Stegostoma tigrinum: one gene and its partner. The protein of the gene in region 1 purifies or fractionates together with the protein of each later gene. This does not show direct contact. Links are inferred from orthologs where the notes say so. Each region holds a gene or a part of one and is shown in the gene's direction. Other genes may lie near its edges.

What was found.
Region 2: the proteins of ptpn18 (region 1) and pstpip2 purify together in Homo sapiens (affinity purification with mass spectrometry; 4 studies listed by BioGRID and IntAct, with this or other methods). This does not show direct contact. The link is inferred for Stegostoma tigrinum from reciprocal best matches to the Homo sapiens genes PTPN18 and PSTPIP2.

The regions. Positions count from the first base shown.
Region 1 is NC_081402.1:2,190,056-2,197,994, forward strand, and holds the start of ptpn18 (tyrosine-protein phosphatase non-receptor type 18), read left to right. Parts: upstream 1-4,848; 5' UTR 4,849-6,617; coding exon 6,618-6,707; intron 6,708-7,939. UniProt on the Homo sapiens protein: Differentially dephosphorylate autophosphorylated tyrosine kinases which are known to be overexpressed in tumor tissues.
Region 2 is NC_081354.1:162,349,620-162,357,655, forward strand, and holds the start of pstpip2 (proline-serine-threonine phosphatase-interacting protein 2), read left to right. Parts: upstream 1-4,980; 5' UTR 4,981-5,298; coding exon 5,299-5,331; intron 5,332-8,036. UniProt on the Homo sapiens protein: Binds to F-actin. May be involved in regulation of the actin cytoskeleton.

The DNA.
Region 1 (7,939 bases):
GCTTAGCTCCCGCGCCATCCTGCGTTGTCGGAGGGTCCGAGGCGGACAATGTTTGGGGCCCAGGGCACGACCCTGAGGAACTCCTGCAGAAATGTCCTGGAGCTGAGATGACTGACCTCGATCAACCACAACCATCTTCCTATGTGCCAGCTATGACCCCAACCAGCAGAGAGTTTGCCCCGCCACCCCGATGCCACACTCGGTCGAATGCAGCCTTGACCTCAAACTCAAGGACTCAGCACTTCTTTCTGTCCACGTTTGAACAAGGCTGGAATGAGGTCAGGAGCTGGGCAGTCACCGAGCAAGTTACTGTTTGATAGCGCTGTTAGTGAGACCTTCCATCACCTTAGTGGTGATTGAGAGGAGACCATTGGGGCGGTAATCGGCCGGGTTGGATATGTCCTGCTTTTTGTTTACAGGGCTTACTTGGGCAATTTTCCAGGTAGATGCCAGTGTTGTAACCGGACTGGAACAGCTCGGCTATGGGACCGGCAAGTTCTGGAGCACAAGTCTTCAGTACTACTGCAGGAATGTCGTCAGGGCCCATGGCCTTTACAGTATCCAGTGTCTCCAACTGTTTCTTGATATCAAATTGGCTGGAGACCGGGATACCCAGGCACATTGCAAGGGGCCGGGTTTGGGGGGGGGGGGGGGGGGGGGGGGTGAGCGCACATAAAATACCACAGTCGCTGGAATTCTGAAATGGACAGAGGATGCTGGAGAAACTCAGCAGGTCTGACAGCATCTGTCGACACACACAGACTCACAATTTTGAGTCCGCTCCTGGGATTGATGCAGAGGTCTCTCCCTGGTGTCCAAGCCCCCTTTAAGTCGTCATTGGACAAGCATATGGACGTACATGGAATAGTGTAGGTTAGATGGGCTTGAGGTCGGTATGACAGGTCGGCACAACTTCGAGGGCCGGAGGGCCTGTACTGTGCTGTAATGTTCTATGTTCTATGTGTATCCCTGCAAACACACCAGAGCCTGCAACACGTCGGGGGGGAGGCTACAGGCAAACTGGCCATTGCCCTTCCCCTGCCAACAAGGAGACTTTTACATGCACAGCAAGCTCCCGCATGCTACAGTTTGAAGACCCGACTGGTCAGTCTGGTCTTTCTTTGGAAAGCAACATCGGTGGTGTACACAGAGCCCCAGTCACACGTATTCGCTGTTACCACCCTCGGAGACAGACAGCACCCTGACCAAAACCGTGACGTGAGACAGTGCTCTGCTACACTCCTACAAGTTTATCGGCCAATTCAGCCCATCAAGTCTGCTCCCCCATTCAGTAAGATCATGACTGAGTTGATCACCACCCTCAAATCTGCTCTCCCGCCATTTCCCCATAACTCCTCGATTCCCCCTTCCTGCTTAAACATCTCTCTCTCTCAGCCTCAAATATAACCCCTCGATCCCCCCCCTTCCTGATTAAACATCTCTCTCTCTCAGCATTGAATATAACCCCTCGATCCCCCCCACTTCCTGATTAAACATCTCAGCCTCGAGCGACACAGCACCGACAGCCCTCTGCGGTGAGGAATTGCACAGACTCACTCCCCTTGGAGGGAGGAAAGTCCTCCCCATCTCTGCCCTCAATGGGCGACCCACCCACGTCCCCACCTTACTCTGAGAACGATGCCCGCTCTGGTCCTAGACTCTCCCACACAAAGCGTGGAAACGATCCCTCCGTATCTCCCCTGTCAGGCTCTCCCCCTCCCCACCCTGGCAGCCTTTTCTGTTTCAATAAGATCACCCCCTCACTCACCTAAACTCCACCTGACGTACTCAACCTCTCCCTCAGGAGGCAGCCCCTCCATCCCCCGGATTGGCCAATGAGCCTCCTCTCAACTGCAGTCTGTCTTTACTCAGACAATTGGGGCCCAGAACCGTTCACAGTAAACCAGCTGTGGTCTGGCTCTTTGCTTCGTACAGTTTTAGCACGAAACCCCTAAGTTTGTACTCTATTCCCTTAGAGAGACAAATCGATAGTCAGCCTGAACTTAGATGTTAGTTTTTTTTTGGAGATTTGTGCACGAGGACTCGCAAATCCCTCTGTTCCAAAGCTTTCCACATTTAAATAATATTCAACTCCTCTGTTCTTCCTGCTTAGGGTGCATTCCCCACCCGTCTCTGTAGTGCAGCAGCTGCTCGGTTACTGGCCCAGTGCAAATGGAAATTTGCTCTCAACTTTTGCTTTAACCTGTGGTTCTGGTTGTGCAGACTGCCCTCAGCACTCAAGCCTCCCCCCCCCCCACCACCCGCCCCACTATTTTTGGGCGCGCCTGCCTGCATCTCGGAAGCAACGAGGCGCAGGTCAAAGGACTGACGTGGCGGGTTTTTAAAAATAGGTGAGGTGAGACGAAGCGACAGGGGACGCGGGCCTGGTCTCTATCTCCCCCGCCGAGACGGGCAGGCTGGTGGTGAGGTGCAATGCGATCACCGTCTGCACTTTGGGGCCGAACAGGCTCTGCTAGGCGCACAGGAGGAGAAAGAAACATACAAGCTGCTCGGTTATTTATAACTGCGACCGCATCAGTTTACAGACTTGGGAGAATGTGGCTGGTGGAGGGGCGATATTACCAGGAGGCAGTCCTTGTTGGTGGTGGGAGCAGACAGGTCAGACCCCGGCAGACGTTGGGATACAAATCCTGAGGGATGCTGGAGAAACTCAGCAGGGCTGGCAGTCCCCTGGATGGAGGGGTGAGGGGGATTGTGGATGTGGAGGAGAGAAATGGACTTGTCTCGGGCCTGGTATCACTGTTAGACTGCCTCACCCTCACTGCACATGCACAATGACTCTCAACCTCACCTTGTACACACAAGCAAGGACTCATTCCAACATCACGTGCACACGCACGCCCCCATCCTCCTCCCACCCTGATACGCAGACAGATGCACCGCTCTCCCGTGTATAGAGATACACACGCATGGCCACCATATACGCACCTCATCCCCCCTCATGCACACTTCCCCACATCCACGTGTGCAGTCACAACACACACACACACACTCCATATATATGCAATCCCCCTATACATGACCACCCCCCAATGTACACACAGGTCCTATACACAGGTCAGTCCCGTACGCAGCCCCAAATACACAGGTCGGTCCCGTATGCAGCCCCAGTACACACGCACATTCCACATACAACTCCAAACACACCCACCCTCCATATACACGACAGTCCCATTCACTGCCCCAAATACACCCGCCCACCCCGCCTCCATACACACCCGCCACCCCCCCCGCCTCCATACACACCCGCCACCCCCCCCGCCTCCATACACACCCGCCACCCCGCCTCCATATACACGCTGGTCCCATTCACTGCCCCAAATACACGCCCCTCCCCCCCCCCAAATACACGCCCCTCCCCCCCCCAAATACACGCCCCTCCCCCCCCAAATACACGCCCCTCCCCCCCCAAATACACGCCCCTCCCCCCCAGTACACGCCCCTCCCCCCCCAAATACACGCCCCTCCCCCCCAGTACACGCCCCTCCCCCCCAGTACACGCCCCTCCCCCCCCCAAATACACGCCCCTCCCCCCCCCCAAATACACGCCCCTCCCCCCCCCCCCCAAATACACGCCCCTCCCCCCCCAAATACACGCCCCTCTCCCCCCAAATACACGCCCCTCCCCCCCCCAAATACACGCCCCTCCCCCCCCAAATACACGCCCCTCCCCCCCCCAAATACACGCCCCTCCCCCCCCCAAATACACGCCCCTCCCCCCCCCCCAAATACACGCCCCTCCCCCCCCCCAAATACACGCCCCTCCCCCCCCCCAAATACACGCCCCTCCCCCCCCCCAAATACACGCCCCACCCCCCTAAATACACGCCGGTCCCATACACAACCCCAAATACACCCCACCCCCAACGTACGTCCTACATACGCCCCGTACACACCCCATAATTACATACCCTGACACAGAGGCAGAGGCAGAGGCAGAGGCTCCCCTCCCAACCTCACACCTTCCCTGTTCCCTCCGCTCACCTCCCGGCCTCCCCCAGTGTCAGCTTCTGGGACCCGGTATCAGGGGGAGCCCCCACTTCTCCCCCTGTCCCTGGGGCCTGATCCCTGTTTCTCTCACCTTCCGCTGCCGGCCCTGACTGACGTTGACGCCGACCAATCCGAGCGGCCGCCTCCTCCGCACCTCTCCACCCTGCCCCGCCTCCTTCGCCGGGTTTCTCCAATCCGAACCCGACCAGGCGCCGTCTCCGCCTTCGAATGGCTGCCCCGTCACCCAATCAGCGGGAAACGCTCACGTCGGAACCAATGGCAGCTCCAGTGGTTGAGGAAGCCTACTCGGATTGGTCAAGCGCTCACAGCCATTTAGACTGCTACCCGCCCCCTTCACGCATCGAACCAATGGGAGGGCGGGTCAGAAAAAAGACGTGACATTTAACCATTCAGCAGTCAGGCTTGTTGTCCGCCTTCCCCCATCTTAGGCCAATGGAAGACAAAGATTCTCCAAAGGACACACCATTTCACCAATAAAAAGGCAGCATGGAAATCCCGCCTCCATCTCTGACCAATAGTGGGTACCCAATTACTGATGGACGCGGCTCCTAACCAATCGAAGGGTGGAGATTCTATCCTCCCCGTCCCGCCCCTCCGTCGACCCACACGATGGGCGCGGCTTCCCTCCAACAGCCGCCGGGCTTATGTCACGCCCCTTCCAAATCGAGCCACTGGGGTGAGGGCCTGCGCTCTGACGGACGTGGATTCCGACCAGTAGGCGCTGGCGTGGGCGGAGCCGCGCCCTGGAGGTGTGTCAAGGAGACCCCGATGGGCAGGGGCTTCGGTCCAATCAGGTGCCGTGCCCGCGGGGGGCGGGAGAGCGAGAGAGATCGCAGTTAGAGAGAGAGAGTTCAAACTGCAAATACGGAGTTATCAGAGAGAGAGAGAAAAAGGGGGAAAGTAGTCATTGTGAGGGTAAAATTAGTCAAACAGACAGAGGGGGGCAAAGAAGTGAAAGAGAGAGAGAGAGAAAAAAGGGGGGGAAGTGAGAAAGAGAAAACAGTGAAGGGGGAAGAGAAAGAGGAGAAAAAAGTGAAGGAAAGAGAAAGAAAAAAGTGAGGTGGAGAGAGAGAAAACAGTGAAGGAGAGAGAGAAAATAGTCAAGGAGGAAGAGAAAGAGGAGAAAAAGGTGAAGGAAATAGAAAGAAAAAAAAACAGTGAGAGAAGAAGAGAGAGAAAATAGTCAAGGAGGAAGAGAAAGAGGAGAAAAAGGTGAAGGAAATAGAAAGAAAAAAGTGAGGTGGAGAGAGAGAAAACAGTAAAGGAGAGAGAGAAAATAGTCAAGGAGGAAGAGAAAGAGGAGAAGAAGGTGAAGGAAATAGAAAGAAAAAACCTTGAGAGAAGAAGAGAGAGAAAATAGTCAAGGAGGAAGAGAAAGAGGAGAAGAAAGTGAAGGAAAGACGTGGGGGGGACGAAGAGGGAGAAAATAGTGAGGCATAGAAAGGAAAAGTAGTGAAGGAAGGAAGAGATGGGGAAAAAGTGAAGGAAAGAGAGAGAGAGAGAGAAATTAGAGAAGTAGAGAAAGGTGGAAAAGAGGGAGAAAATAGTGGGTCGGAGAAAGGGAAAGTCGTGAAGGAGGGAGAAAATTGTGAATGTGGAAGAGATGGAAAAAAAGTGAAGGGGAGAGAGAGAGAGAGAAAATATTGAAGTGGAGAGAAGGGTAGAAAGCGAAAGAGAGAAGGAAACAAGTGAAAGACAGAGATAAGATAGTGACAGAAAAAGAGAGGAAAAATGGTGAGACAGAGAGTGGGGCGAAAGTGAGTGAAAGAGAGAAAGTAGTGAAGGGAAAAGAGTCAGGGAGAGAAAACAGTGAAGGAGAGAGAGTTTAAATTGGAAATAGATAATAGAGTTGTCAGAGAGGCAGAGGAATATAAAGTGGAAATATATAAAGTAGAGTTATCAGAGAGAAAATAGTGAATAAGAGAAAGTTAATAGTAAAAGGGAGAAAGCGTGCATTGGGAAATATGTAAGTATAGAGTTATCACACAGAGGGAGAGGAAGAGAAAATAGTGAGGGAGACGGTTTAAACTGGAAATAGACTGTACGAGTGAACACAGACAGACAGAGAGAGAGAGAAGAGAATGGTGTAGAAAAAAGTGAGGAGGGAGCAAATAGTGTGACATTGTGAGGAAGTAGTGAGAAAATTAAATAGATAGAGAGACAGTGTCGGTGAAAACAGAGAGGCAGAATGGAGTGTGATTGAAAGCAGCGAGAGAGAAAACCGATTTTGAATAGAGTTGGAGAAACTGAGAAGTCAAGCAGACAGTGGGTCAACAGTGCGCGTGAGAGAGAATCGAGGGAGAGGTAACGGTGAGGGAGTGGCCTGGAGAGAGAGAGAGAGAGAGAGATAGAGAGAATCGTTGTGGAGGGAGTGTTGGGCAGGAAGGACAGAGAGTAGCTTGAGGGAGATGGTCTGGAGATAACGGATTATTCAGAGCGAGAGAGAGAGAGAGAGAGAGAAGATCTTGGGAGAATGAGAGGACCCAGGGCTGTGTGAGTGTCGGATAAAGTTGGGCAGCAGTCAGAGGCCAGAGAGCGGTTGCAGTGCGGGCTGCGAGACGGGGTGAGGTGGAGCGCCGTGACCCATGGAGGAGATACTGAGAGGGTTCCTGCAGCACCTCGCTGAGCTGGAGAAGGCGGATGGAGACGAGAGCGGATTCAGCAAGGAATTCAGTGTAAGCCTGGGCCGCGGTACCGCTGGCAGGGTGTGGGTCCCAGCTCGCTCGCTGGATGGTGTCGGGTTCGGAATGGTCTCTGCTACCCCCCCCCCACCCCCAACCCCACCCCCACCTCACCTCACTAGCTCTGGGGAGGTGCGGGAGAAACCCGTGGTGATCATCTGTGAGTAAGGTAATAGGTGGAAGGGCTGAGTGGCCTGCGTCAGTGAGTCTGCACATCCTGGTCGATCGGATCTCAGTGAGCAAGGGTCACAGCTCCCCAGGCAGAATGTACAATGACCTCTGCCCCTCCCACTCCCTTTCCCAACACTCCTAGCCCCCCAGCATTTTCTCGTACACCTACAGGGGTCAGCCCTTGCTCAGCTCCCTCAGCCATGGTGAAGATGGCAAAACTGGACTAAGAGCCTGTAAACTGCAGCTCTAGTCATTACTTCAGCTGTTAAACATGGCAATTTGTGTGTGTGTGTGTGTGTATACGTGCATGTGTGCGCATGCGCCACTTGTCTATGTGTGTGTGTGTGTCTCCCTGTGAGAGTGTGTATGTGTGGATGCATGTCTCCGTGTCTGTGTGTGTGCACATGCATGTGACTGCCTGTCTATCTTTCATATCAGTCTCTGACTGTCTGTCCGACTGTGTGTCTGAGTGACAGCGTGACTATCTGACTGTGTCTGTGCTGTCTGACTGTGCCTGGCTGTATTTGTGTGTGTGCGACTGTGTGTCTGTGTCTGTCTGACTGTGTGTCCATATGTCTGTGTGACTGTCGGTGTCCTGTCTGTCTGCCTCGGTTGCTAGCTGTGTCTGTGTGAGTTTGTATGGCTGTTTGATAATGTGTGTCTGTGTGACTTTCTGACTGACCGTGTGTCTGCCTGACTGTGTGTATCTGTGTGACTTGCTAACTATGTGTGTCTGTGAGAGAGACTGCGCGACTCTGACTGTGTGTGTGTGTGAGAGAGAGTGTGTGTGTGTGTGTGTGTGTGTGTGTGTGTGTGTGTGTGTGAGAGAGAGAGCGACAGTCTGTGTGACTCTGTGACTGTGTATGAGAGAGAGAGACTGCGTGACTCTGTGATTGTGTGTGCGCGCGCGCACCTGTGTGTGTGTGTGTGTGTGTGAGAGAGAGAGACTGCGTGACTGTGTGCGCGCGAGAGACTGTCTGCGCGACTGTGACTGTGCGCGTGCGAGAGACCATCTGCACGACTGTGACTGTGCGCGCGCGAGAGACCGTCTGCGC
Region 2 (8,036 bases), on another chromosome or scaffold:
GCAGAGAGACATAGATAAGCTGCAGAGCTGGGCTGAGAGGTGGCAAATGGAGTTTAATGCAGACAAGTGTGAGGTGATGCACTTTGGTAGGAGTAACCAGAAGGCAAAGTACAGGGCTAATGGTAAGATTCTTAGTAGTGTAGATGAGCAGAGAGATCTCGGTGTCCATGTTCACAGATCCTTGAAAGTTGCCACCCAGGTTGACAGGGCTGTTAAGGCGGCATACAGTGTTTTAGCTTTTATTAATAGAGGGATCTAGTTCCGGAACCATGAGGTTATGCTGCAACTGTACAAAAGTCTGGTGCGGCCGCACTTGGAGTATTGCGTACAGTTCTGGTCACCGTATTATAAGAAGGATGTGGAAGCTTTGGAAAGGGTGCAGAGGAGATTTACTAGGATGTTGCCTGGTATGGAGGGAAGGTCTTATGAGGAAAGGCTGAGGGACTTGAAGCTGTTTTCATTAGAGAGAAGAAGGTTGAGAGGTGACTTATTTGAAACATATGAAATAATCAGAGGGTTAGATAGGGTGGATAGGGAGAGCCTTTTTCCTAGGATGGTGACGGTGAGCATGAGGGGGCATAGCTTTAAATTGAGGGCTGAAAGATATAGGACAGATGTCAGAGGTAGTTTCTTTACTCAGAGAGTAGTAAGGGAATGGAACGCTTTGCCTGCAATGGTAGTAGATTCGCCAACTTTAGGTACAAAGTCGTCATTGGATAAGCATATGGATGTACATGGAATAGCGTAGGTTAGATGGGCTTGAGATCGGTATGACAGGTCGGCACAACATCAAGAGCTGAAGGGCCTGTACTGTGCTGTAATGTTCTATGTTCTATCTCCTTGGTGGATCTTCACCTGGATATTTCTCCTTCAGGAGACTGTGCAGCAGTTGCTGGTGTTTGCCGTTCCTACTAGCTTTGATGAGGATGCTGTTTCCTTCTATATTATGCAGTTGTACAAAGACTTCAAGGATTCCGGCCATTGTGAGAATATCGGGTCATTAAAGTGCCGCATAGATGCTGGGGTGTCAAGCTACATCATGATCTTCAGTCTGATGTGAAGTGATGTAACATGGTGATTTGAAAATGAAGCCGTCAAAAGTAAGGTTAAGATTTTATGATGGTACCACACTATTCCACTTCCCAGCACTTGATATGTATAGCTCATCCAAGTACTTATTACAATTTGTGATGTTTCCCAGCTCTATTTCCCTGTCTCGTAGTGCATTCCAGATTTTCATGTCTGTCTGGGTGAAAAGCTCTTTCCTCAAATCCCCTCCAATGCTCCTGCCTTTCACCTTGAAACTATGCCCCCTCGTTATTAATCCTTCAACTAAGGGGAACAGCTGCTTCCTATTCACCCTGTCCATGCCCCTGATAATCTTATACACCTCAAGCAAAATCCTGCTTAGCCATCTCCGCTCTAACAAAAAGAACACAAACCTATCCAGCCTCTCTTCATGGCTAAAATGCTTCATCTTAGTCAACCACCTGGTGAATCTCCTCTGCATCTTCTCCAGTGCTTCCTATTTATATCTTCCCATACAGCAATGACCAGACATGCACACAGTACTCCAGCTGTGGCCCAACTAAAGTTTTGTACAGCTGTAACAAACCAGCGTCAACAAAACCTTGTACAGTGTGAACAGAATCTTCCTGTTCTGATAAATTATGCAATGATTGACAAACACAAGTGTCCTGCATGCCTTCTTAACTATCCTATTAGCCTGTCCTGACAAGTGTCCTGACACCTTCAGATGTCTGTAGACAGCATCCGAAGGAACCTCTGCTCTATATTCTGCCATTACAACAATGAAGATCTGGAGTTCCACATCATAGACGGCACGCAATGCCAAACATCCCTGCCACAATGAGTCTAAGGCTTGGACTGGCAACCCACAAAGTGCCAAAGCAGCTTTGTACTCATGTCACATCAGTCCCTAAGATAACCATTGAAAGAATCTTTCCAAACTTGCTAAATCTTCAACACCAAAGCATGGATATTGGCAAAACTGAAATCTGGCTTGATAGATCGTATTTTGTTTTGTTTTAGTTTTAACAAGGTTGTCTCTCATTAAAGTATAAGTACACAATGTTACAGATTTTGTTTTAAAACAAGTTTATTAACCAGAAAAATTAAGAAAAATATATAATAAACCAAATTATTTAGTTATCTTTCAAATTCAAAGATTCTTACACGCAGAAGTATTATTCTATTAATCCCAAAACACTTACAAATTCCAAAATAAAAACATTCATTGTACAGTTCCTAAAACCACTCCTTGTATAGTACTTCCACCAGGGAAAAATACATCTCTTCCTAATACTTTGATAGGGTTAAGGTGACTGTGTATTTAATTCCTAAACTGGAAATGCTGATAGTTTGTCTGTGGAACTATCATACACCTGTTCTTAAAGGCACTTAACTTCAGATACACACTTCAGCTTTTATCCCAACACTTTTGATTTGCTACTATCACTAACTCCCTACTCTAAGGTAAACTTATTATATTCTCCCCTTCCCAGGTGTACTGTTCTGGATAATTATTCCTCTCAAAGGGCTTCAACGAGCTGATAGAAAAGAAAAGCAAAATTGGAAACAGCTCTCTCTAAACTATGAGGATTTTCCTACGCTTAGGAAAACCATAACAGAAATTTCTAACGGACCTTCAAGCACAATGTTTTCCTTTACTAAGGCGTGAAACATCCTAAGGTAAACAAAGAAAAATTAGAGAGATACCAAGGTGTGGAGCTGGATGAATACAGCAGGCCAAGCAGCATCCTAGGAGCAGAAAAGCTGACGTTTCAGGCCTAGGCCCTTATTCAGAAAGAAAAATTAATTTTTCTGATGAAGGCTCTAGGCCCGAAATGTCAGCTTTCCTGCTCCTAGGATGCTGCTTGGCCTGCTGTATTCATCCAGCTCCACACCTTGGTATCTCGGATTCGCCAGCATCTGCAGCTCCTATTATCTCTGATACAAAGAAAATTTAATGCTGCCAAAGTAGCTCTCACAAACTGTTCTAACAAATAAAACAAAAAAAATCACCATTTCTACAGAAAGTTAATTATCACCTTCAGACACTCAGAAAAGTCACACGACACCAACTCAAATTGTAAAACCCAAACTAAAAATAAATGACCCATGTTGTACACATGTAAGAGAAAGAACCAAACCACAACCTAATTCCAATTGTGATTTCTCTCCACAAATGCTGCCAAAGCTGCTGAGCTTTTACAGCAATTTCTGTTTTTGTCAGCAGGTCTGGCAGCATGTGTGAACGGAAAAACAGAGGTAACGTTTTGGTTCCGGTCAACAGACCTGAAATGTTAACTCTCTTTTTTTCCTTCACAGATGCTGCCAAATCCGCTGAGTTCCTGATTTACAGCATCCACAGTTATTTCAGTTTTTATCCAGGAAAATGAGTTGTTTCAGATTCTATTGATAATCTCCCAAGCATGGTTGGACTTTGACATTTTTGTGGCCCTCATAATTTTTGCAGAGTTTGATTTTTTTGTGTTTTTAAATAGATTTCTTGTTTTCCATGTGATTGTATGCCTAATATTATTGGGTGATCCACAATTGACTAAGCAGAGAGTTATGGTGAAAAGTAGAGCACGGTGACTCAGCGGTTAGCTCTGCTGCCTCATTGCGCTAGGGATCCGGGTTCAATTCCACCCTCGGGTAACTTTGTGGAGTTTGCACATTCTCCCTAGTGTCTGCGTGGGTTTCCTCCTGGTGCTCTGGTTTCCTCCCACAGTCCAAAGATGTGCAGGTTAGGTGGATTGCCCATAGAGTTCAGGGACGTGTAGATAGGGGGATGGGTCTGGGTGGGATGCTCTGAGGGTCAGTGTGGACTTGTTGGGCCGAAGGGCCTGCTTCCACACTGTAGGGATTCTGTGATGATCTGAGATATCAGTGAAGAATACAGTGGTAACCCCTGGTGGCAAACATTGGGACCACAGCTCTTTCTGGTATATATTAACAACCCATGCTTGGGATCAGAGAGCATAATTACAAATTTTACAGTTGTATTGAAATCTGGAAACATAGTGTCAGTGAGCATGACAGTAGCACACTTCCAAAGGAGAGAAAGCCTGGCGCAACGAGCAGACAGATGGAGATTAAATTTAATGTAGATCAGTGAGAAGTGATGCATTTTGATGGATAAGTAGGTAGAGTTGTAACAGAGTGCAACTAGAAAAAGACCTTGGGGTGTACAAGTACAACTTTGACAATGACACAAGTTCAGAAGGTTCTCAAAGAAAATATTGGATCCTTATAACTTGAGGCATAATGGCTGATTTGCGGTCCCACACTCTAGAAAGAATGTCAAAGCTTCAGAGAGCATGAAGAGGAGATTTATTAAAATAGTATGATAGGAATATGGGAACACGGGTTAATGGAGAACTTAGGTAGGTTAATTGCTTTGCAGCAGAGAAGATTTGATAATGGGTGCACTGAAAGTTACAGTAATTTCTTTCCAGCAGCAATTAATTACCAGACGGCACAAATTTAAGCTAATTGGCAAAAGAACTAGAGGTGATACAAGGAAAACACTGCACACAGTTGCTACGATCTGGAATACACTGCCTGTCAGTTTGTGGAAGCGGATTCAACTGTAAATGCTTACGCAAGGAATCAGGCCCTGCCTCGACCCCACTTTAGAAACTGCTGTGGAAGGATTACCCTATTGTACTGTAGAGACTAACTTTCTTTCCATGACGTGGCTGGCCAGGAATATCACTCCATCTCAACAAAATATTTCGGCAGGAGTTATAAATTGATACTCAACCTGCTTGACCTTGCTATGAACACAATTTTCTTGGACATTAAACACTGCATGGGGATCTCGATGCTGCAGTGCTGCAAGACCTCCTGTCTCTGAATTCTAGTAGATATCACCACTTTGCAATCGGTGCATTAATTTTGAGCGCCTAACGCCTGAGTGCTGACTGGAAAACAGGAATTTGCTTCTTCGTCATTTCAGTGAACAGTAAGCATCCCAACTCAAATAGAAATAATACCACGTGGATCAATGTATTGCAGCCTCCCTGCACATCCCCGGCAGACACCAGGACCCAGAGGAATCCAATTCTGTCTGTGTGCCTTTTTGGGTGAAGGAATTAAAAACAGTCGAAGGGTGGCGAATTAGACAAATGTCTTTCAGAGCAAGCAAATCATCGACAAGACAGTAGCACTCGTGAACCTGCTGACAAGACGGAACAGGAGTTTTCAGCAGCAAGTTGCTGCTGGATTTCTGGGGATAGTGTTAACGCAGGTTTGGCATTTAATTTCAACATGAGAGAGCCACGGTTTCGGGACAACTTCTGGGTAAGTGGCTTTCGCGCTGTCTGTCTAAGGCTGTACTCATTTATCTGCTGGGAATTTGATTGGGGAGGTGGGACATGGATTTTCATCTTAAGGTGTGCTTGTGCGTCTGTTAGATTTGTGAGTGGGTAAACATTCCCAATGTATTTTGTTTTACTGAACATCGAATACAGTTTAAGTTACGTAGGTGTCCCTTGCTCGTTCTCTCTCGGCATTTCAAGCTGACTCACACCTAAAATGCTCGCAACGAATCCCCACAGGCTGGTCCTGTAAAAAAATTTGTTACCTGGAAATCTGAGACCAATATCTGAAAAATGTTTCCCGTTCTTTTGAAGTGTTGTGTCTCAAATATTAATCCACCCCTCCCCAATTCGCAGATGTTGCCCGACGTGTTAACTATATTCAGCATTTTCCTTTAACTATAGAAGATAGCAGAGTGTGAAGAAAGTAAATACACATCTTCGATCTTTATTCCAGCTCAAGTTGTAGGTGCAAACCGGTTTGTTCTTTAGGATCGGTTTTTTTCCCTCTATTATTCATTAACCGGATGAGGGTGTCACTGGCTGAGCAGCATTTATTGCCCATCCGTAATTGCCCTGAAGGCAGTTCAGAGTCAACCACATCGCTGTGGGTCTGGAGTCACATGTAGGCCATACCGGGTAAGGATGGCAGTTTCCTTCCCTCAAGGACATTAGTGAACCAGGTGGGTTTTTCCTGACAATGGACAATGAATTCACGATCGTCCTTAGACTCTTAATTCCAGATATTTTTACTGAATTCAGATTCCACCATCTGCTGCAGTGGGATTCAAACCTGTGTCCCCAGAACGTTATCTGGGTCTCTGGATTAATAGTCTTGCGATAATACCACTAGGCTATTGCCTCCCCTAGTTAAGCCACTTGAAAGGGCAATTTCAAAAGTAAAATACTGGAAATCTGACAGATAAAGGATACCACTGGAAAAACTCAGTTTGATAGTTCTGAGTTCATGTTTCTTGGCCTTTCATTTTGGAGGTAGGAGGGACGTTGATATAAGCAGACAGTGGAGTCTGATTTCATCCTGCCTCCACCAGAATTGGGTTCTGGGCAGGAAAGTGCTTTTTTTCCACCCTCTTCACCAAAGTTGCTAGCTGTCCTGGAGATACCTTGTCACTTTTTGTGGGTAACTCTTGATTAAGGAACTGAACATCAGACTATGTGGTGCCAATTGGAAACCACGTCTTGTCCTTGCTTTTGCCACGCCCCAACTACCTTTGGCCTTGGCCCTGTGATCTTGGGTCTCAGTCTTAGCCTCCTCTATGGTGCTGCTGAGTGAAATGTGCTTGGGCTGTCATTGGCCAATGTTCCCCTTCATCTTCGACTGCAAGGAAAGACCCATCATTTCTGGGTGTACATGTGGGGTTTGTGGGTTTTCCCTGTAGCTGGCTGATGAGACCCTCCATAGCCATTCCACCATTTGGCCTTCCCTGGTATTGCTGCATACACTGCGTGGAAGGAGAAATGGAGTAGATTCATTGAGGCAAAATCTCAGTTTGAGAAGCAGCTGAAAACTGAGCTGGAGCCAGAACCCCAGGTGAACTTTGCTGCTCCAGCCATTTACGTCATGATTTAATGTGGCTTGTGCCAGCATGGGATTATCGTAACTTCAGGTTTCGGCATGAGGAAAATGTTTGGTAAACTTATCTGAGACAGGAACACTTCCGGATCCACCCAGTTCACTGATGAAAGGGATGGTAGCACCATGATAAAGGATTCTATTCATCAAAGTAGGTGGTGCACTGATGATGTTTCGGTGACAACCTCAGAGAACCTCTGCTGAGGCAGTTGTAGGTGGACTGCGCAATAAACCTGCAACATCAGTGTTGTCTCACAATGCTGTCAGGAACCAATTTTAAATCTGTGAAATTGCCTGCCCCATCACCATCTGAGATAGCTGTGCTCATCCAATTCTAGCCTATCATCCCACCGTCCACCTTCCTGATCTTTTTTTGCTCCACCATTTGGTAGCGGTGTCTTCAGCTACCCAGGCCTAGCTCCATAAACCTCTCCACCTTGCTCTGCCTCACTTTGCTCCTTTATGACTTTCTCCTTGCAACCTACCTGGTCATCTGACCCACGCTCCCTCCACCACGTTGTTCTGTGTCATATTTGGTTTCAGAAGGCAACTGCAAAGTGCCTTAAAGAGCATGGGACTTTTATGTTGAGGTTATCGCATAAATAGAAGATGTTGTTGTGATGCATAGCATCTTTTCTCTTGCTTCCACATGCAAACAACAATCTGATGGTAGAGAACAGCTCTGTGAAAGTGAAACTATTACGAATTCTCAGAAACACTTCTCAGAGACAGGTTGAACTGGTTTTGGGATGCAGTGGGTGGAGGGGAAGAGCTGGGCTGGTTGTGTGGTGCAGTGGGGGCAGGGGACGAACTGGGCTGGTTTAGGGATGCGGTGGGGGAAGGGGAGATTTTGAAACTGGTGAAGTCCACATTGATACCATTAGGCTGCAGGGTTCCCAGGCGGAATATGAGTTGCTGTTCCTGCAACCTTCGAGTGGCATCATTGTGGCACTGCAGGAGGCCCATGATGGACATGTCATCTAGAGAATGGGAGGGGGAGTGGAAATGGTTTGCGACTGGGAGGTGCAGTTGTTTGTTGCGGACTGAGCGGAGGTGTTCTGCAAAGCGGTCTCCAAGCCTCCGCTTCCTTTCCC